Kluyveromyces lactis: one gene and its partners. The protein of the gene in region 3 interacts with the protein of the main gene of each other region in a pairwise test. Links are inferred from orthologs where the notes say so. Each region holds a gene or a part of one and is shown on either strand. Other genes may lie near its edges. The genes, in order: MSI1, SNF1 and NPR1.

The links.
Region 1: the proteins of NPR1 (region 3) and MSI1 interact in a two-hybrid assay, tested with the Saccharomyces cerevisiae proteins (2 studies listed by BioGRID). The link is inferred for Kluyveromyces lactis from reciprocal best matches to the Saccharomyces cerevisiae genes NPR1 and MSI1.
Region 2: the proteins of NPR1 (region 3) and SNF1 interact in binary tests that used the Saccharomyces cerevisiae proteins (3 or more experiments, as listed by UniProt). The link is inferred for Kluyveromyces lactis from reciprocal best matches to the Saccharomyces cerevisiae genes NPR1 and SNF1.

Annotation. Positions count from the first base shown.
Region 1 is NC_006041.1:2,090,146-2,097,072, reverse strand, and holds MSI1 (Msi1p), read right to left. Parts: upstream 1,828-6,927; coding exon 574-1,827; downstream 1-573. Other genes in the region: PGI1 (glucose-6-phosphate isomerase), read right to left, coding at 2,163-3,830; KLLA0_E23497g (DUF5315 domain-containing protein), read right to left, coding at 4,367-4,762; GPI2 (phosphatidylinositol N-acetylglucosaminyltransferase), read left to right, coding at 5,071-5,889; TAF5 (chromatin modification protein), read right to left, coding at 6,077-6,927. UniProt on the Saccharomyces cerevisiae protein: Acts as a component of the histone chaperone complex chromatin assembly factor 1 (CAF-1), which assembles histone octamers onto DNA during replication and repair.
Region 2 is NC_006037.1:334,686-342,255, reverse strand, and holds SNF1 (AMP-activated serine/threonine-protein kinase catalytic subunit SNF1), read left to right. Parts: upstream 1-1,640; coding exon 1,641-3,449; downstream 3,450-7,570. Other genes in the region: divalent metal ion transporter SMF1, read left to right, coding at 4,969-6,708; SNX3 (Snx3p), read right to left, coding at 6,934-7,428. UniProt on the Saccharomyces cerevisiae protein: Serine/threonine protein kinase essential for release from glucose repression.
Region 3 is NC_006040.1:712,921-720,703, reverse strand, and holds NPR1 (serine/threonine protein kinase NPR1), read right to left. Parts: upstream 6,232-7,783; coding exon 3,907-6,231; downstream 1-3,906. Other genes in the region: ubiquitin-specific protease UBP10, read left to right, coding at 406-2,658; MRPL19 (mitochondrial 54S ribosomal protein uL11m), read right to left, coding at 2,985-3,434; NOP6 (Nop6p), read right to left, coding at 7,295-7,783. UniProt on the Saccharomyces cerevisiae protein: Nutrient-regulated protein kinase that promotes the activity of at least 6 distinct transport systems for nitrogenous nutrients under conditions of nitrogen catabolite derepression.

The DNA of each region.
Region 1 (6,927 bases), on a different chromosome or scaffold from region 3:
GAAAGGGCAGTCAATCAGCTAGTCGAAATAAAACTCAAAATGAACTACAATTCAAGAATAACACAAACGTATGTCTATAACTTCTAACTAATTAAAGGTCAGTTAATTGGATTTCGATGTGTGAAAAGTGTAGGTATTTCCAAATCCTAAAAGTTTCGCCAAAAGTTGAAAGAGAAAATTTTGTTTTCCCTCGAATTGGCCTGGCTGCTGGAAAATAAAAAATGGGCTATACGTAGTGGAAAGTATTGGCATAAAGTAGTATACAACTATAAAACATACAACAGTTGCTGATGGCGTATCTTGTGCAACTAGTATAGAGTTGAAACATGGTAGATTGGCATATCCTTTGTATACCTGTTTGCATAGAAGAGTTGTAGAGAGTTGTAGAGAGTTGTAAAGAGTGGCATCTCGTACCCGGTGATTTGGTCCATGTTCAGTGCTATGATTGGTTATAGGTCACGTGAAAGGAATTCAAGGAAGAGTAACGTGTTTCTTGTGTCGTGCGACACATTTATTATATGCGAATAAACAATACCGATACATGTATATATCGACGACATGTTCCAGTTTAATCTACAATTGTTCTACTAAGTTTGCTGCTGGCTTCCAGATATGAATTGAATTGTCGTTCGATACACTGCACATGGTCCATGGATCATGTTGTGACCATGAAATGTCGTTGACTCCGAGCATGTGACCACCATGGACAAATAATAGCATGTTGTTTTCAGCGTTAGAGTCCTCTTGTTCACCTGATGCATCCCATATCTTCACTAATCCACTCTGTTGATCTGCAGTGGCCAGTATTTGCGGTATCTGAGGGTTCCATTGAATGGCAGAGATGGGATCCTGATCTCCATGTTCCCATTCCTTTATTGGCTCCTTGAAATCTCTTATGTCCCAGATCTTTAACTGGCCCTGAGAATCACCGGTACACAATATCATATCGTTCTTATAGTTAAACTCGATGGCATTGATTCCATCTGTATGTGTAGTACGGTGTAATGTGTCCATTTTCGTATCTTGTCTTATGTCTATCAGTCCAATGACGTTGGATTCTCCGCATGATGCTAAAATGGAAGTGTGGTTTACCATCCATGACACATCATTGACTCCATTCGCGTCCATCACACTCTCTCTTTCAGGTATTTCCATTCTCTGTTTCGACTTATCAAATTTAGTAAGATCCCATACTTTTACTTTCCCGTTACTTTGACATGTAGCTAAGGTACCCTCCAATTGGTAATTCCATGCAAGGGATAAACTCTCGTCCTGTTCATCGTCACCGTTATTTCTGCATTCGATTTCGAATTTCCTGCCTGTGGAAATCTTATTACCATGTTTCGTTCTATCAAATATGTACACTGATCCATTTGATGATGCAGTCCCAATTATATCGGGGTTCTGAGGCATGTACCGACATCTGTTGCAATCACCGTCAGGGTACGTTATTCGTACCTCTTCTTCTAATGTCTTGTCGTTCAGTTTCAATGAATTATCCAGTTTAAATTCCATTTCATCCATGTCGAAGTTATTGATGGAACTCCATTTCATATGATTCATGGTAGATATGGACCCGATGTAAATTGACTCATCCTGCGGAAGTTGCTGCGATGTGAATGAAGATAATAATATCCTTTGTTTGTCATTCGTAAGAGTACGGTCTGGGAAGAATTGGCAGGATAGAGATGGCCATTTCGATGTGTTTGTATTCAAATAGTCGTAGAGCAACTTTGTATTCTTCTTCCAATTGGTATACCTTTGCTGTACTTCATTAGAAATTCCAGAGCCCAGTTCTGGAGGTTCTTCTATAATCAACTCACTCATTGTTGCGTCCTCTATATGCTATGAGCTAGCTTGGTATTGTTATATCTTGTCACAATCTCGATGTCTGTACTCTCGCACTACATCACGCGTTGTTGAATCTTTTGGACGTGTATCATTTTTCATTTTCCTTAATGTAAATATGAAAAAAGAGATTGATTAAGTGAAAACAATTACTTCCAATGTAGTTGATATTCGTGACATTGTCGTATATAAGTCATTCATTGCACATAGCGTTTTGATAAAGAAGTTTATTTAGTTTGGTTGTACGTAAAGATGTGGAATTCTAAGTTCACTGCATATCTTAGGTGAAAAGGAAATTGCATCGCATTCTCACATTAGATCCATTCTTTAAATTGGTTGATCAAACCGTTGGTGGAACTGTCGTGAGAAGAAATCTTGTTATCAGTGGCCAATTCACTACCAATAACCTTAGCCAAAACCTTACCTAATTCAACACCCCATTGGTCAAATGAGTTGATGTTCCAGATAGCACCTTCGGTGAATGTAACGTGTTCGTAGTAAGCAATCAAAGCACCAAGGGTAGCTGGAGTAATCTTTTGAGCCAAGATGGAAGTGGTTGGTCTGTTACCAGAGAAGACCTTGTGAGGTACTAGACCACCAGTGGCACCTTCTGATTTGACCTGTTCTTCATCTTTACCGACCATCAATGCCTCAGCTTGAGCGAAGAAGTTAGATGCTAGCATTTTTTGATGTAGGTTGTTTTCAATTGGGTTATGAGATTGGGCTGCCAAGATGAAATCAGATGGAATCAATTTGGTACCTTGGTGAATCAATTGGAAGAAAGAATGTTGAGCATTGGTAGCTGGTTCACCGAACAAGATAGAACCAGTAGAGTAGTTTGCAAAAACATTACCTCTGGTGACGGACTTACCGTTGGATTCCATAGACAATTGTTGCAAATAAGCTGGGAATCTGTGCAAGTATTGATCGAATGGCGCAACCAAATGTGTTTGAGCATCGAAGAAGTTGTTGTACCAAACAGATAATAGACCACCCAACAATGGAATGTTGTCTTCCAATGGAGTTTCAACGAAATGCTTGTCTACTGCCTCAGCACCCTTCAAGAATGCTTCAAAGTTGTCGAAACCGATGTATAGAGCAACTGACAAACCAATAGCGGACCAAACAGAGTAACGACCACCGACCCAGTTTTCAAAACCGAACATGTTCTTTGTGTCGATACCGAACTTTTCAACTTCAGTAGCGTTAGTGGACAAAGCAGCAAAATGCTTGGAGATATGGGATTGGTCACCACCGTTCTTAGATAAGAACCAGTTCTTAGCACTAGTTGCGTTAGTGATAGTCTCAGCAGTGGTGAAAGTCTTGGATGCGATCAAGAACAAAGTGGTTTCATGGTCCAAATCCTTCAAAGTTTCAGCAATATGAGTACCGTCAATGTTAGAAACAAAGTGTACCTTCAAGTTGGTAGCATAATGTTTCAATGCTTCAGTCACCATAACTGGACCCAAATCTGAACCACCGATACCAATGTTGACAACATCGGTAATAGACTTACCGGTGTAACCCTTCCAAGCACCAGATCTGACTTCTTCGGTGAACTCCTTCATGTGTTGCAACACAGCGTCAACCTCTGGAGTGACGTTGGTACCATCAACGTACATTGGCTTCAAACTTCTGTTTCTCAAGGCAACGTGGTACACAGCACGTCCTTCAGTGAAGTTGATTGGTTCACCGTTGAACATGGCATCTCTCAATGAGGTGACCTTAGCTTCCTTAGCCAATTGGATCAAAGACTTCAAGATTTCATCGTCAACTAAGTTCTTGGAAAAATCAAACAAGATCTTTGAACCATCGTAATTGACAAACGTCTTGGCAAACTTTTCATAACGAGAATTGTCCTTAGCAAACTCGTCCTTAACATTTAGCTTTTTACCCTTTTGTTCGTACAAAGATTGCAATTGGTTCCAGGCTGGCAATTCAGTTGCCAACTTGAAGTCAGAGTAAGTGTTCTTAGAAGCCATTTCTGATATTTGTCTTTTTATTTCTGTTTTAGAATCTATCTTAACAGAACTTTAAAACCTTTTATTGTACTTTACGGTCAGTTAAAAGGTCACTTCAGAATTCAGCGATTAAACCCTAATCACAAATTCCTTTCTACGTGACTCAAGAATACAATCGAAATACCAATTGGAAGAAGCAATTGATCAAGAACCTTCACCAGAGAATATATATATATAAAGAATCCACGATTTAAGTTAACCATTTCCCTCAAATTCGCAGGTGATGGAAAATACCAAATCCTTTTTTTTCTCAACGTTCCTATTATTTTCCATACTACGTTCAATCATCAATTCGTATATCCCATCGTTATTCGGAACAACTTGTAATTTCTGTCAGCTTCCGCTTTTTTTATTTGTTTCGCACCATCCAGTAAACAAATAGTGAAAGGCACGTAGAAGAAACCGGTGGTCCTTGGAAACCTTAGCTTCCACTAATACTCAACAAAAAGTCAGGGTAATTGTGGCACGTGATTCATCACGTGATTTGAAGTATTTATTCAGTTATATCTCTCAATGGTATCTACGATATCATTGATGTGTTTCTGTTGTTCTTCAAGATTTCCTGGGGTCTCTGTTGATTGTCTCTTCATGTGCTGCATCAAGTTCGCATGCATCTGGCGTAAGCGGGTAATATCCTCTTCGAAATTATCCGGGAAAGTAAGGCCAGTATTGCCCTCTCTGGCCATTCTTTTCACATCATCTAGTGTATCTATATCTGTCCATATCCTATCCTTGTCATCCACTTTTGGTGTAGCATGTACGTCGTCTGGAACGGTATCCTTGGGTAAAGTTCTCGGTATGGCTTTAGAATCCGTAGGTCTTCGTTCATTGTTTGAAGATTGCCTGGTTACCTGATCAAACGAATTTGATGTCTCCCTGCTAGATTGATCCATTGGGTATATGTAGCAATGAGTTGAGCAGTAAGTTAGGCTATATCCTTTGTATCTTACTTGTGCGGGTGCTCCCGCTGGCTGTGCTGTGATATTAAGTTGTAATGGATTAGCTTTTTTACGTATCAATCTCTAATTTTAATGATTCGAAAAAGCTAGCGACGACTGTTGAACTGAAGTAACTTCCTGCACTCGCAGAGATTTATCGCGAGTATAGCGGCAAATCTCCAGGTTTCTTTTGTCCAGACTGTAGTGACTATATTGTGCTAGTCGTTTCCCGAATAACAAATTGTCTTCTCTTATAGTTGTTAATGGCTGCGGGGAAACAATGGAAACGGTTATTGTGGTTGAAACAGCCGTTCCCAGATACCTACACTGATCCAAGTTTCTACAAACAATGGGAGAAGTTGAAAATTGAACATGGGCATTTGAGGCCTCACTCCTCGTACAGGTCTGTTTTACTTGATCTCTTCCAGTTTTACCACATGATTATTAATACTATGTTACTCTATATTATATTTGCCTGGTTCTATCATTACAAATACAATCCGATTTTAATTGCTGCCTCAATTTCATCTGTTTCCTTAATAGTTGCCAACAAGAGGGTACCCTGGAAATCCACTATCATCATTATATTTGCAATGTTGACCTTATCTCCAGTGCTTAAATCTTTGTCCAAGACAACTTCGTCCGATTCCATCTGGACTCTATCTGCATGGTTCACAACCTTTTACATCATATCGATCTCCGCTCTTGAATCTAAAATCCTACCGACCAATATTCTACTCTCAAATGTGACCGTACTTTCTTCAAGATTAGATACCTCCACCCAAGTTTTCTGTTTCCTTTTGATATGTATCCAAATTAACATTCTACTGCCGACGATGGAAAAGTATTTCATAAAGAATAAGTTGAAATTCCTGCATATACTATGTGTTATTGCGACACATGGTACAGTCTACTATTTTATAACGAAGTTAATGGGTGTCGGGATCACGATACCTTTGGGAATATCATCTTTGTTACTATTATTTGGAATCCCTCATTACTATATCCACTGGGAAAGCTACTATTATAAAGGACATCCGATTTTACAGCAGTGGGACGCTGAAAAACCAATATTAGATTAGTTATTAGGATTCTGTTAACATTTACATTTCATTGACTGCATTGATATCAATGCACATAAAATATACGTACTCATTGTAAATAATATAAAGATAAAGCGCATTCTCTTTTTTTTTATTTATTACAATTGGACAACTACTAGATATGTCGAATAAACGACCCTTATCTGGCTGAGTAAAGTAATCGCATTTACTCAATAAATGCACCACCAGCCAAAACTAGGTTCGTTCTTGTGAATTTTACTTTGTGAATTGCTGTTTTCTTTGTATGGAACGAAGCCATCAAATCCTGAGTTGGTATTACTGCCCGCCTACGTCCGAATTCTTTGATATCGTTATTTACACTGAGTTCCATATCTCCTGAATACGTGTTGAATTGTTGTTCCGGCTCCATTCCAGGCTCGTTTGTAAACCTCTTTATATCCCAAACTCTAACACTTTGATCCGCACCACCTGTTACTAGACAGTTACCTTCTTTGTTAAAAGTTATGGAATAGATAGGATTCTTACCGTGACCCTTCATCTGTTTGATTCTTTTACCAGTACCAATATCCCATACGATAATTGTGCCATCCTCACTGCCCGTAGTTAACCACCTACCGTCAGGCGATACTTCAAGTGCGGTGACTGGTGATGTATGTCCCAAAAACAGTCTAACAGAATCACCTGTTTGAATATCCCACATACGGCACGTTTTGTCGCTGGAACCAGTGAAAACATAGCAACCATTTGGATGGAAAGTGCTACAATCCACGTCATTTAGATGACCTGAGAAAATTCTCAACGGATAGATATGATCACAAGACCATAGTCTAGCCGTTTGATCATGTGAAGCGGTGATGAAATAATGGCCAAGTGGAGAAAACTTGACGTACCATACTGGATGGTTATGGCCTTTGTAACACACTAGGCAAGTGAACGTATCTAAAGACCAAAGTCTGACAGTTTTATCTTCAGATGCGCTAAGTAAGTACCTGTTATCCGGGCTGAATGCAACGGAATAAACTGGTCCGCTGTGTCCTACCAAAGTAGCAGAGTTCG
Region 2 (7,570 bases), on a different chromosome or scaffold from region 3:
TAACCGTTTCAAACCTGAATTCCAGCTAATTCCAGATGACTGCTCTGTATTTTGTTATCAAGAGGAGGAATTGGAGTATATTCTTTTCTTTGTGAGGATAGCACGCATTTTTCAAGAAGTTACCATGCTCCTTCAAGATGATACCACAAATTCATTATGCAATGGAATTAAATATTACATGACTATCCGCCAATATTACAAGTCTTGCGAAGAGTTAAAAAACGGTTCGGATGATATTTTGCATGTAGCCAATGTTGGGATTAAGAAAACTCATTTACCATCAAATACTATAAAGGAACAAGTTTTCTCTGCGGTCATGGCCTCGTACCCCAAATTTGAAAAATACATGGACTTTGCGTTCAAAGAACCAGGATATTGGGTGGCACATATCTCACAACCTCACCGTAAGACTGACCTATTGAACAGGTCCTTTGAGCAATCGTTCAAAGAGGATGTCATTGAATCAGCAACAAGTTATGTTGTCAGTTACTGCAAACGATTTACTGAAACTTCCGATATTCGCTCGCACAATAAACCAACTGAACCATTGAATATCAATCGTGTTAAGAAGCCAAAATTATTAAAAAACCTATCTGCATATCTGGATAGAAACATTTCAGAATTCCATTTTGCGCCTAAGGATGAGTGGCAGATATACTTGGGGGAACCATTGGAGAAAGAGAAGGATTTTTTGAGCTATTGGCTTGAAAACCAATCAAGATTTCCTGCATTGTGCAGTCTGGCTCTTGCCTTTTACCACACTAAGCTCTCAACTGCTGACGTCGAAAGGAGCTTCTCAATCAGTAAGCGTGTTTTAGATGATAGATTTTCTCTTGCTAGTTCCAATTTAAAAAGCACAATGATAGTAAGGAATCGCTTGATGTGTTTCAATTTGGGCTCAAAGATGCCTGTGACTGAACATATTGCAACGGACTCTTGGACGGATGACGAGGACGATATGGAGCATTCAAATTTTAGCCAACAATCATTCTACGATCCTGCCGCAGTCATCGATATTTACTCCAGTGACAGTAGTGATTGAAACTAATACATAGATAGCAGAATTTTGGAATCACCAGTTTATAATGAGGAAAATACGATATTAACGTTATTCCTAATTATAAAAGAGTAATTGGGGAAGATTAAAGATGTAATATATACATCTTGGTTCGTATATAATAGCCACTTATCGAGTGGTGATGTACTTTAATGTAGTGTCATAGCATATTGACGTAGTGAAGAATGGATTCGTGAATTGTCTGAATCCTCTCGTAAAACGTGACAGGATTGGTGACTGAAAATGGTCAATTCGCCGGACTCGTCCCAGTACGGTCTCCTACATAAGGTATCAGTCATCATCAACGATTTCTACGCCGTTTACATTTTGATGATAAAATTGAAAACTTGTCATATACGGAACATCAACAATAAAAGAAGGATCAATGCGTAATTGTAGGGCGGATAGAATTGGGTTTTGTGAGACTCCAGAAACGTCACACTAGTATAAGAATTGCAAGTTTTCTAACAAGTTAGTCAACTTCTCAATTAGAAGCAACTATTCTCAGAGTAAACAAGATATCCCTCTGTTGAACGCAAACTCTTAGTGAAGCATTTACGAGTACATACTCATCAGAGAAGATATGTCGCACGACCCAAATCAACAACAGCCGCATGGTGGCTCAGGTCAAGGCCATCACCAACGCCAGCTGACTAACCACGCACAAGGCCAACATATCGGTAAGTATCAAATCATCAAGACCTTGGGTGAAGGATCATTTGGTAAAGTGAAACTGGCGTACCATATCTCTACGGGACAAAAAGTGGCATTAAAAATCATCAATAAGAAGGTTCTAGCCAAGAGTGATATGCAAGGTAGAATCGAGAGAGAGATTTCGTACTTACGTTTGTTGAGACATCCACACATTATCAAATTGTATGACGTGATCAAATCGAAGGACGAAATTATCATGGTGATTGAGTATGCTGGTAATGAATTATTTGATTATATTGTCCAAAGAGACAAGATGCCTGAACAAGAAGCAAGAAGATTTTTCCAACAGATTATTAGCGCAGTAGATTATTGTCACCGTCATAAAATTGTGCATAGAGATTTGAAACCAGAGAATTTACTATTAGACGAACATTTGAACGTTAAGATTGCTGATTTTGGTTTATCTAATATAATGACAGATGGTAACTTTTTGAAGACTTCATGTGGTTCTCCAAATTATGCGGCCCCAGAAGTCATCAGCGGTAAACTATATGCAGGTCCAGAGGTTGACGTTTGGTCTTCAGGGGTTATCTTATACGTCATGTTGTGTCGTAGGTTACCATTCGATGACGAAAGTATCCCAGTGTTGTTTAAGAACATTAGCAATGGTGTTTACACCATACCTAACTTCCTTTCCCAAGGTGCTGCGAGCTTAATCAAAAAGATGCTCATCGTCAATCCAGTTAATAGAATTACCGTGCATGAAATCATGCAGGATGAATGGTTCAAAGTTGATTTACCCGACTACCTAGTTCCTGCTGAAAGCACCCATCAAGAAAACTCTGAAAGCAAAACAGAAGATGGCGGCCCATCCGTGCCACTCGAACTGATCGATGATTCGTTAGTTCAAACGCTATCAAACACTATGGGTTATGACGTAGATGAGATATATGAGGCTTTAGAGTCCGATGAAGATCATCCATCTTTAAATGAAATCAGGGATGCCTATCAGTTAATTAAAGAGAACAGAAATTTAATCAACGACATCAAGGTGAACAAGCAACAATCTAATGACTTGGATACTTTCTTATCGCAATCTCCACCCACTTTCGAACAATCCTTGCATGCCCCCCCGGGCTCAAAAAATCGACACTCACACCGCCATTCAAAGAGAACACAGCAACGTACATATCAATATCATTATGGAAATGGTTCTCAGGATGGAGACAGCACGATTGCAATTTTACCTAGCTCGTTACCACAGATCCATAGAGCCAACATGGTAGCACAAGGGTCCCAGGCTGCTGCTAAGATTTCACCATTAAGCGTGAAAAAATCAAAAACAAGGTGGCATTTCGGTATACGATCAAGATCCTATCCATTAGACGTTATGGGAGAAATATACATTGCATTGAAAAACTTGGGAGCCGAATGGGCGAAACCATCAGAAGAGGACCTATGGACTATTAGAGTCCGTTGGAGATATAATATCGATATGCCTGATGACGAAATGAAGAACAAGCAGATTCCAGATTTAATGAAGATGGTAATCCAATTGTTCCAAATTGAGACAAATAACTACTTAGTGGATTTCAAATTTGATGGCTGGGAGTCCAGTAACGGTGTAGTGTATTCAAGTCGGAACGACGATGAAATGAGTACGTTCAGTGCATACCCCTTTCTACATTTAGCAACCAGGCTGATTATGGAACTTGCAGTGAATAGCCAAGGAAGTTGATTTTAAGGTTCATGAAATTAAAAAAATACTAACGGATAATATCCAACGAAGAGTGTATATAAGTTTGAATATTTGCTTAAAGTTTAAGCCTTATATACATATCATTAAATAATGACAATCACTATATTATATGAGAAATTACTCTTAGCTCACAACACTCGCCGGGAAGAAGAGGAAAACAACATACATGTTTTTGACACATGAAAAAAGAATGCATCGGCCGGGAATCGAACCCGGGGCCCAACGATGGCAACGTTGGATTTTACCACTAAACCACCGATGCTACTTTGTTGTAGTTTTCGTAAGATAGACTGAAGACAGGCCAGACGAAGGGTCATGTGAGCTAGCCAGCACACGGCAGAGTTCCAAGACGTCAGTGACTGGGCATATGGATCCTGTGGTATCCAGAAGGGAAGGCCTAGATGGATCAAAGAGGGTCACGTGACAATATTTAGTGAAATTGGAATAGGCAGAAGCTGCGCATGACGAGTGGCTCATGAGACTATCAGTTACCATGAAAAAGTCCGACGGACAACTGAGTATGAGTTGAGTATTAGGGCTGAGTTAAGTTGCAACCTTTTGAGAGGTTGGATGCAACAAGAAGGAGCAAGACGCATATGCTCAAGGATCTAACTATGTATATTCTTATATCAAATTCAGTACTTGTTTGGTCTCTACGATTCCACAAGAGGTGAGCAATCAATCAGCTATCATCCACGGCACATCACAACATGAGACTATTATACTGTTAAGTATAGTCGGGTCTATCATAATAGTAATATTTGCTATACTAGTGGGCAAAAAAATGGTTCCTAGCGGGATCGAACCGCTGATCCCCGCGTTATTAGCACGGTGCCTTAACCAACTGGGCCAAGGAACCAACTTGGATGTTGAGGAGGAAGATTGTGTTGCCTAAATGTTGAGACGGAACATAAACTATGATCGGGTAACTACCGATGCAATTGGCGGTTAAGTAGCTATACGGTACGTATTAATTGAAGTATCGTTAACTGACCTGAGTTATTATATGAGGAGGCATCAGGTCTGACAAATGACAATCAGCTCAACCGGGCCAGATCTTCAGATGAGCCATATTTCTTAGTACTATATATAGTAGTGTATATTGACCCACCTGATACTGAAGATCTAGAATCGATTTCATGTGACAGGAATAACCCGAAATATCGATAATAACCAACTAAGTGTGTTCAACCGTAGTCCGATGAAACGAGCATTTTTCTAGGGAACTTTTTTCGTGCGAGGTATATATATGCATACCTTTGATGAAATAGGGCAAATGTAACGTTAAGGTATAAGGACTATTCATCAGGTCATTTTTATTGTTTTCAATCCTACAACGGGAGTTTCCAGTGCCAGTATAACAAGCTGCTTATCAGTGTTTGGATATATCGAAGGAGGTTTCATCGTTGTAGGGAAGTTCAAACGAAATCAACGGGTCGATTGAGAATAGTGCCAAGATTTGGGAATAAGATTCAGTTGTCTCAATTGAAAGAATATCATGCCGGAAAATAAGTTTGAAGTGACCGAGGAGTACTTGGATCCTCAAAGTATGCTTGAGCTGTCCATGCCCGGTGGTGCCTCCAAACTCTCTGTTCGTCAAAAGTTGATATTGAAATGCAGAAGGGCCATGAGGATGAGGGATACGGAGAAAAAAGGATCTTCTTCAACTGACCCAGTTCAGAGTCAATACTCACTGTCATTGTCTTCCGCCGAAGATAAGAAGAGAGGGTTTTTTGGCTCCGTACAAGACGTGTTGAGAAAATACATGAGATTTGTTGGACCGGGTTTGATGGTCTCTGTTGCCTATATGGATCCAGGTAATTACGCTACTGACGTTAGTGCTGGTGCTTCTAACGAGTTCTCTTTACTTTGTATTGTGTTGGTTTCCAATATTATTGCTATCTTCTTACAATCTCTATGTATCAAACTAGGTTCTGTGACGGGATTAGATCTTTCAAGGGCTTGCAAGAAGCACCTGCCCAAATGGTTGAATTTGACCATTTATGTGTTTGCAGAATGTGCTATCATTGCAACAGATGTTGCTGAAGTTATTGGTACTGCAGTTGCATTGAATATCTTGCTAAGAATCCCATTACCAGCGGGTGTGGTTATTACCTGTATCGATGTCTTATTCGTTTTGATCGCTTACAAGCCAGGTTCTTCATCCATGAGATTCGTCAGAATGTTCGAGTACGCTGTTGCCCTACTTGTCTTTGGTGTTGTTATCTGCTTCTGTGTTGAGTTGGCTTACATTCCAAAAACTCCAGTGGGACATATTTTCAGAGGTTTTGTTCCTTCTAAACAAATGTTTGAACATAACGGTATGTACACCGCTACCTCCATTCTCGGTGCCACTGTCATGCCTCATTCACTCTTCTTGGGTTCTGGTTTAGTTCAACCAAGATTATTAGAGTATGACGTTGACCATGGTTACTACGATTTGTTGGCAGAAGAAGATGAAGACAATGTCATTGAAGAAACCGAAGATACTCACTCTGCTGTAAAGGAAAAGGAAGATATCGAAGTCATCAGGGAAAGAAGATACTTCAATTATCAACCCACAAATAGTGCTATCAAGTATGCCATGAAATATTCCATTTTTGAATTGGCCATCACTTTGTTCACCTTTGCATTATTTGTTAACAGTGCTATTTTGATCGTTGCAGGTGCCACTTTGTACGGCTCCGAGGAGGCTGTGGATGCCGACTTGTACACCATTCACTCTCTACTTTCTAAGAATTTGGCTCCAATTGCTGGTACTGTTTTCATGTTGGCCTTGTTATTTAGTGGTCAATCTGCCGGTATTGTGTGCACCATCGCAGGCCAAATTGTATGCGAAGGTCATTTGGATTGGAACTTCAAACCGTGGAAGAGAAGATTGATAACAAGAGGTATCTCTATTATTCCATGTTTGATTATCTCCTTAACCATAGGTAGGAGTGCCCTTTCCAAGGCTTTAAATGCCTCCCAAGTTGTTTTATCCATTCTATTGCCATTCTTGGTCGCTCCCTTGATCTTCTTCACTTGTAAAAAGTCTATCATGAAAGTCAAAGTGAACAACAAAGATAAACTGAACGCTCCAACGGTTATCGGCGAGGAAGAGCAACCTGATGAATATATTGACATGTCCAACAACTGGATCACTACCATCATTGCATTTTTGGTATGGATTTTCATATCCTTGTTGAACGTTTACACTATCGTGCAATTAGGTATTTCTCATGGTGATATCAGTTGAGTTCTCCCTCATACCTGTTTCATTCTCATACTGTACTTTGAACATATTTGCATGATAGAACCGTCTCCGTTAAAGGTAACATGAAATATTATATACTTTTTTGGATATACTGTAAACTACATTCTACGTAATTTGCTCCATAAACAGAGTACATCAAGACTTTCCGACTCATGTCAACTGCCACTAGCGAAAGTTATATTAGGATGGCAAATCTGCTTAATATTACTACCCCTGGAAGGTAGGATCCTGAATGAAACGGACGAGGACTTTTGATCCAGTTTGTAATAGAGGGTGCCCAGCGACAGATGCCAGCCATTTGTTCAAGCCTTGGCGTCTTTCCTCTATAACTGCATCACTGAACCTGTTTGAAAGGAGAATCTTTCCTGGCAAATGTTGTACTGAGACTTTCGGATGGTTGCTCAGTTGTAATTCTTTGATCAGCAACTTTCTGAATAGTTCAAAATCACTGTACCGCCTTCGAACGGAACTCGATCTTTTAGAAAAGCCAGGAAGATTCGTCCTGCATATAATTTCATAATCTGTATACATTCCCTTAGCATCGCCACTAGGGAAATGAGTCTTTGGGTTGCAAACCTCTATCTCTAGAAAGTTTTCTGGCTCATCATAAATTGTTGCACCGGATAATTGCTTGTGAGTTGTATGTGAAAGTGTAGACTCTGCAGTTGTAGTAAATGATTGGAACTGTCTTTGGGGGCACATATTACCGAATCCATATAATCGTGGACCTTGCCCGATTAGGTTTTTCAAGGTATTATTCACTCTTTACCCACCTTCGTTACTTTGCAGGAATTGGTTGAGGTACCCTTCATAAATGGTCTTTTTTATAATGAAAAGCCATAGA
Region 3 (7,783 bases):
GACTAACATCCGGGTATCCTTTCACGTGACACAAAATACCATGACGTATTGCATTATTGCTGTTACCCGGCTTTCATATCGCTTTTTTTGTGGCACACCAAAAACCAGACACAAAAACGTGTCAAAGGAGCGTGTCTGGTTATTTGCTACCCGGATACTTTGATATCCAGAGTTTATAGATTCAGTTCTTTTTTTTTTTTCTTTGGATCCATTTTTTTTATCGAATTTTCGCTGTCAAAACCTCCCTCTCTAAGGCCAGATCAAAGAAAAAAAAAATAATAAAGAGAAATAAAATATTATACTAGAAAAGGTTTTACTAAACAGCAGGTTATTTCAGAAGAGTTCGAAAAGCTTGCGGACAGAAAAGGGCTAGGGTGCAGTTTTCTATCAGGAAGAACTAAGGTAATGACTGATTCTGTAAAACCACTAGTGGATCGTATCGTTTCGCAACCGTTGGAATTCAAGAAAGCTGTTCAAGAGGACTCATATAACGTCGGTGGTGAAGGCTCTTCGTATATTATGATCTCATCGAGCACCCAGAAACAGCAGCAGGAAGCCAAAGAAGGCGATGAGCATCAGTTAGAGCATGGACATCATCAGGGTATAGCTGCTACTGCAACTGCGTCCCGTAAGGAGAAGGTGGTCAAGCCCTCATCATTTGCAGAGGCGTTGAAGATGTATACCACTAAGAAAAGTGCGGCAAACGCTGCGGAATCTAAGCCAAACAGAAGTTCGCAATTACCAATTACCGCTTCTCATGTGACTCCATCGGGGAAATTATCTATCGGTTTGAGCAATGAGCTTTTACTCAGTGATGATGACTATCATGGATCCTCGACTGAAGATGAGGAGCATCCAATCGTGTCGTTGTTGGAAAACAAAGTGACCCCAGATTCAAACGAAATGTCGGGTTCTGGGTCTTCTTCCGCTTCTTCATCATCTGCTGCAACTTCTGCTCCTGTCTCGTCGTCTGATGACGACGATGAGGATGAGGATGAGGATGAAGTGTTTCATGAGGCTAATGAATTCGTTCAACCATCGCTGGCATTAGCTGCTCCTGCTGAGCAGCCTGGAAATGTCGATGAAGATGAAGATAGTGATGACAGTTCATTCCACGCTTCTTCTGCATCAGCAGAAGACGAGGATGACGAGAATGACGAGGATGTTTCTGCAGAGGAAAAGGAAGAACTCAAATTGGAGGCTACTGAACATGCTGCTGCTTCTTCTTGTCAGTTCAAAGGAGTGTCTTCATCTTCAACTGCGGCTGCTTCTGAGAGCAAACCTGAAGAAGAGGAAAATGGCGAAGAAGAGGAAGAGGATGAAGAATTGAAGCACAAATCTCCACAACCTCTATCACCTACCCCTCCTACCACTCTTCAGGACAAGTCAAGCTTCTACCAATTTAACGAGTCGATTAATGACCATGGTTCTAATAAACCACAGAGGATAGTTAAGAATTGGGGCTCTAAGTTGACCCAGCTGAAACCAAGGGGTTTACTCAACCATGGTGTCACATGTTACACAAACGCTGCTGTGCAAGCCATGGTTCATATTCCAGCAATTCAACACTATTTATTTCAATTACTACGTGGAAATTTCAAGGACACCGTTAAGTCTAACTGTGTTTCCATGTTATTAGCGGAAACTACGATGAGAATGTGGTCTTCTGACTCAACTAAAAATACGTACATTAATCCTGATAAATTAATCAATGCGTTGGAAGACATTAACTGTATGATGAGCGCTTGGAACCAAGAGGACTCTCACGAATATTTTATGTCTTTAATGTCACGTTTACAAGAGGACTCGGTTCCTAAGGGCCATAAAATGACAGAATCCATCATTTACGATGTATTCGGTGGATTACTACAACAATCAGTTAAATGCAGTAACTGTGGTGAGATTTCAACCACTGAACAACCTATATACGATCTTTCATTGCATTTAAAGGGTAGAAAGACAACTGATCAAGATCAAAACTCTGTTGGTCAAGATAATTCAATTGATAACTCTGTTGATCAACAGCAATCTTCAAAGAGAAGGTTTTCAATTGAAAAATCTATTCGGGATTTCTTCAATCCTGAGTTAATCAAAAGAGTGGACAACAAAGAAGGGTATACATGTGAGAAATGTAAGAAAGTTACTAACGCGCTAAAGTCAAACAAGATTATTCGTGCTCCAGAGACTCTAGTGGTTCATTTAAAAAAGTTCAGATTTAATGGCACATCTTCATCCAAAATGAAGCAGGCCGTATCTTATCCAATGTTTTTAGATCTAACGGAATACTGCCATGAATCAATCAGCTCCTTACCCGTAAGATACCAACTAATTAGTGTCGTTGTGCATGAAGGGCGATCTTTATCTAGCGGTCATTATATCGCACATTGTAAGCAACCAGATGGAAGTTGGGCCACATATGACGACGAATACATCAATAAAATTTCAGAAAAACAGCTTTTGAAAGAGCCAAACGCGTACTTCTTAGTGTACACTAGACTTACACCAAAATCGGTCCCACTTTCCTCTCAATCTTCCAATAAATCTACTGATCTAGGTATTCCGCAATTGCAAAGACCTCCATCTTCACACTCATCATCGCAGAACAACTCTAAACGTAAGAATAAGAAAAAAAACAAGAAGAGAAGGATTTCCCCATAAGTTTGAATAACCCTTTCCTTAAACTACCGGCTTACAATACACTTGCATCCTTGTTCATTCTTTCTTTGTAAACAGTCATACATGCATCTACCTCACACTGACTTCAGTTCATCTTTTTTCACTTCGGTTTCAGTTCATTTGGATCATCATATACATCTTCATCTATAGTAGTTGATATATTATTATAATTTTATCTTTTCATTATTCTATTTTATGTACACGAAATGAGGTCTACAAATGCTAATAAACCAGTTGGAATGAAACTCTCCATCGAGACCTTCACTATTTCACAAATCGATGCTTTGATTAGTGAAAAAAAAGTCAGTTTATGGAACTACCTTAATACCCATACTCTTAGCAACACCGATAATAGACTTTACGATTCCTTCAAGTTCCAGAGCAGCGTGTCTTCCATCGGTCTTCTTGATCTTGGCGATCTCATATATATGTTTTAACGACAGTTCACCACATACATTATCAGGGTTACTGATATTTGGTTGTCCGTGTCCCTTCTCAAGACTTAATGCCTTCAATAAAAGATATCCAGTAGGAGGGCTTTTCATTTCAAACGAAAATGTTCTATCTGGTTTGATATTGATGAGTACTGGAATCGGAGTACCCGGTTGGAAGTTTGCTGTTCTGGCATTGAACTCTTTACAGAAATCAATAGCTTTAATACCTTTAGACCCTAAAGCTGGACCAACTGGAGGAGAAGGCGCAGCTTGACCTGCTCCGACAATAAGTTTGACTATCACGTTCTTAAGAACCTTCGACATGGTCCTGTTTGGCGCTTCCTGGACTTACTGTTTCGATATTTTGTTCGAGGCAATTGATCGGATTGAATGCACATCTTACTTTAAGCCATCGATTTTTACCAGCTTATAATCTGGCATATCTCCAAGAATTTTTTAGGCCAAAGAAAATTTTGAAGTTATTACCCGCACATTGTTTTCCATTATACACTTTCTAATAAGCACAATTCATTGTCTGCTAAATAGAACCATATGCTGCGATGTGTACCGACTTCATGCCAAAGGTTGCTAACGTTATAAAGCATTAATTTTATGAGAATGCCAAGAATTGTTCTTAAATATTTTATACATTTGTGTACTTTTACAGGAGAGATAATTTATAACGATTGCACAACAATTAGAAGTCTATGTCGTCTCAGAAGAGTTACTCTTATTTGATAAAACATGCTGTAGAACATACCTCAGCCGGATTGCTAGTTTTACTCTCTCTCTTAATTTATTTTGCCTTTTTTTTCTTTTCAAGACCAGCAATGTGGGCTTCGCTTTGATCAACTTGGGTATGTTTGTGGTCCATTCCAGGGTGCACGACGTAGTTACCTTGGTTGTCTACTTCAACGGTGCACATGTCAATGGATTGAATCCAAGGGTCATTTAATACTTCTTCAATATTGGCTCTACAAGCAGGAGCCAAGTCTACCATCCTACCGATAATGTGGTGGGTCTCTTCCGGTAAGGAATGAAGTAGTCTTTGAGGACCAATATTCGTGTTGTTTGGATCAGATGGGTTGTTCGATTTAGATGTGCTCTCAGCTGGCTCATCAGATTGGACGGCATTGTCATAACTTGGCGGTTTAGGTGTTTTTGTGACTAAAGCACTCAAGGAATCGCAGTCTCTTCCCGAACAGAAGAATTTGAAGGAATTATCCTTTAACTTAGGTATCTTCCATGGGAATTTCTTTAATACCATACATGCAAACAAAATGGCAACGGACCATATATCAACAGGTCTTGGGTCATACTTGGTAAATATACAAACTTCGGGAGCCAAATATGGATCACTTCCAACAATGCCACTTGACTCGATTAAAGTTTTTGAGTGGGGGTAGGAGAAGACTTCTGCAGCACCGAAGTCAATCAACTTCACTATACCCTGGTTGTTTATTACACAGTTGTCCAACTTCATATCACGATGCGCCAGACCAATACTGTGTAAATATTCTACACCGGTCAAGATTTGCTTGAAACAACAACAGATTTCTTCATACGACATCTTATTACTCATGACGATGGCGAAAAGGTCATAATCACAATACTCCATGACTTGGAAGATCCTGTTGTTTTCGTAAACAATTTCAATAGTGGATATGATGTTTGGATGACGTAAAGTTGTACCAATACAGTATTCAGAAGTAATTTTCTTCACATAATCACGCTTACTTTCGTGTTCAAACTTTGGTCTGAATTCTTTTACAGCAAAGACTTGGTTATCACTGATCCTTTTCATTAATCTAACGGAACCACCGGCACCGGCACCCAAATTTTCCCCAGTTTTAAGGTAACGTTTACTGAATGGTAATGCAGGTACATGCGAAGCAGCGTACACAACGTCATTGGATCCCAATGATCCAGGCGCAAATCCTGCACTTGCACCGCTTGCATTTGAAAAGTTAGCACTGATTGGTGGAGACTCACTGTATGAAGCGGAGGAGTTACCGTGTTTTTTAAAGAATCTCTTCAAATCAGCAACGGAGCTGTGACGAGATTTTGGAGTATATTGATTCTGAGAGAGGTTTTCATGCAATGATTGCGGAGACCCCAAAACATGCTCATTATATGAGGCAGTAGGTTGTCTTGATGAATTGTAAATGGACGATGCTCTAGCCCTAATGGGTTTTGGAATGGATGAACCATGGCTCGTCGAGGAGGAAGGGATTGCACTGCTGTTGTTGTTATTGTTGGAATTCGTGTTACTATTGGAGTTGGAGTTGTTGTAGTAGTTATTGGTCTGAGAGACGCCAGCGCCATACGAAGAGGCTACTAAACTCGGTTCATTATCCTTGTTTTTCGAAAAGAAAAAACTTCCTAGCTGTGAGGATAACGAACTCGATCTTGACACTGGCTTACCGGTGTCATGATTCATATTTGATTTCTGTTGTAGTTTCTGTTTTGAAATGACAAATCTGGGCTCCACAGATTCAACTTTTGGCGAAGAGATCACGTTTGAGTCGATGGCAGCTATATTACTGGGCAACGACCCATGCTTATCCAGCCACGAGGAAGATGCAGAGGATTCGGCACTATTAACAGTTGAGTCGTTTGTTGTATTGGAATTTGGTGCCGAGTATGGTATACTAGATGAAAGCGATGGTAAATTGTTCGAAATGACACTTGTCGAAGTGGTGTGTCTCCCAATACTTGTACCAAGTCTTCCTGGTACACCTCTTCCGTTGGTATCTTGTGGGAATTTCCCGCTTGAAATAAGGATGGAGCCCGAGCGAGATCTGTTTGGCACCGAAGAGCCGTACATGGTTGCAGTATGAGCTGAATTAGCATTGACAAAAGATTGAGAAAACTCATATGACGCTTCCAGAGATCCATCGTCATTTGAATCAACCTGTGTTACGGTTGTATCACTACCACCAGCACCATCCCTTATTTCCATCGGGCTGGATACCACGGTTCCGTTTGGATGTCCAGCATGAGACTGTGAATTGGAGTTTCTTGATTCTGCCAAGGAACCTTTCAAAGAACTCGTTAGAGCGGACTTTGACGAAGGTTCCTGATTTCTTTTTTCTTGTAACAGTTTAGTTAACGATGACATTGTTCCAATAACGTTGTGGTCTGGTTCTAATTATTTTGCTTTGTCGATATCGATATCAGAGCCTGATTAACTCTAATTATCGATTCTAAAAAACTGATATCCTCGTAAAAACACCGAGTAGCTACTTTATAATTCTATTCCTTTGTATACAACACAATATGAAGCAGGTCTATCAATCCCTTTCAGAAAGTTCTTCTGCAGTTTTGTTTTGTAATACCGAATTTATCCTGAGCAGTGGCACTAAAGGGGAACTCTATGTCTTTCTTTTCCGTACCGAAAACTCACCCTGTAGCAGAAACGTGCTAAACTGGAGAAATGAAGCGTGTTGTTGGAAGTAGAACTATTTACAGCCAACTGCTAAGCGAATAGGTAAGGGTAGGAATCTGAAAGAATTGGAGAAAACCTACTGTCTGGATGCTTGCGGTCTATTATGTTTTGTTTTAATAATATATAAATTCAAATTTTTTTTTCCTTTAAGGACGGATTTCCTTTTCCCTTGGTATTTCCCAAAAGATAAAAGACTAATCTGCGCAAGAAAGGACGACAACGTTGACTCTTTATCTGATAAACGTGATATACTTGATTTGCCGTAATCGATCTGGTTTTCGTATCAATTTACTGTTGCAAGTTCGATTTATGTGAGGAACTAACTCTCTGTCTCCCGTTCTGATTTACACTAGAGAATGGACTGATGGGTCGTTACGGCTCTTATTCTTGTTCGTATATGTTTACATGCATTCCATTCATATGTAAGTGTGATTATGTTGGAACGAACGTCAGGACTCCAGTCTACTGTCGTTTTTTTTCATTCGCTTCTTGGATTAAGCGACTGTTCGCAATTGACCTGGATTGGCAATATCCTATCCCCGAGGATTCGTTGGATTAATTCGCATTAAGCGACACAGGATTTGGAAAGGGCATCATTGATAACGGTGTTGTTCACGTGACTCGCTCTCTGTTCTGCTTCTTGCACGGGAAACATATGCATGTCTGTATATATATATACACATAACATGTGAGTACGCTATTATACATTGACTCAGTTGAGATCCTGAGAGTCTTCTCATTTAATAAATCTTGCTCTGTCTGGATGGATTCCTGCAGGTACAGATGAAGGTTTCTTGGGTTCGTTCTTCTCTGCGCCATTTGATTCAGAGTCCTGGTCCGTCTTCTTGTTGCCTCTGCTGTCGCTGATTAGTTTAGCCATACGTTGATTACGCTCAATGTCCAGTTTATCGTTCTTAGTTCTTAGCTTCTCAAGACGTGTTGCACTGTTACCACCACCACCAACTGTTAGTTCAACGTTGATCTTGCGGTCTCCGAGCATCGTCTTATGTTGAAGTAATGCGACGTCCATTCTTCTTTGTATGTTCTTGTGGTCTTTATCTCCGTCAAATTCAAGGAATGCAATTCCCTTGTCTTGTCTCATTCTAATGTGGTCTGGACTGCTGGCCTTGAAATGAGCTTGTAATTGCGATGCAGTTGTTTCACGGCCTATATTCCCCACAAACACAATAAACCTGTTCCCCTTCTTCGTGCCCTTGCCACCTTT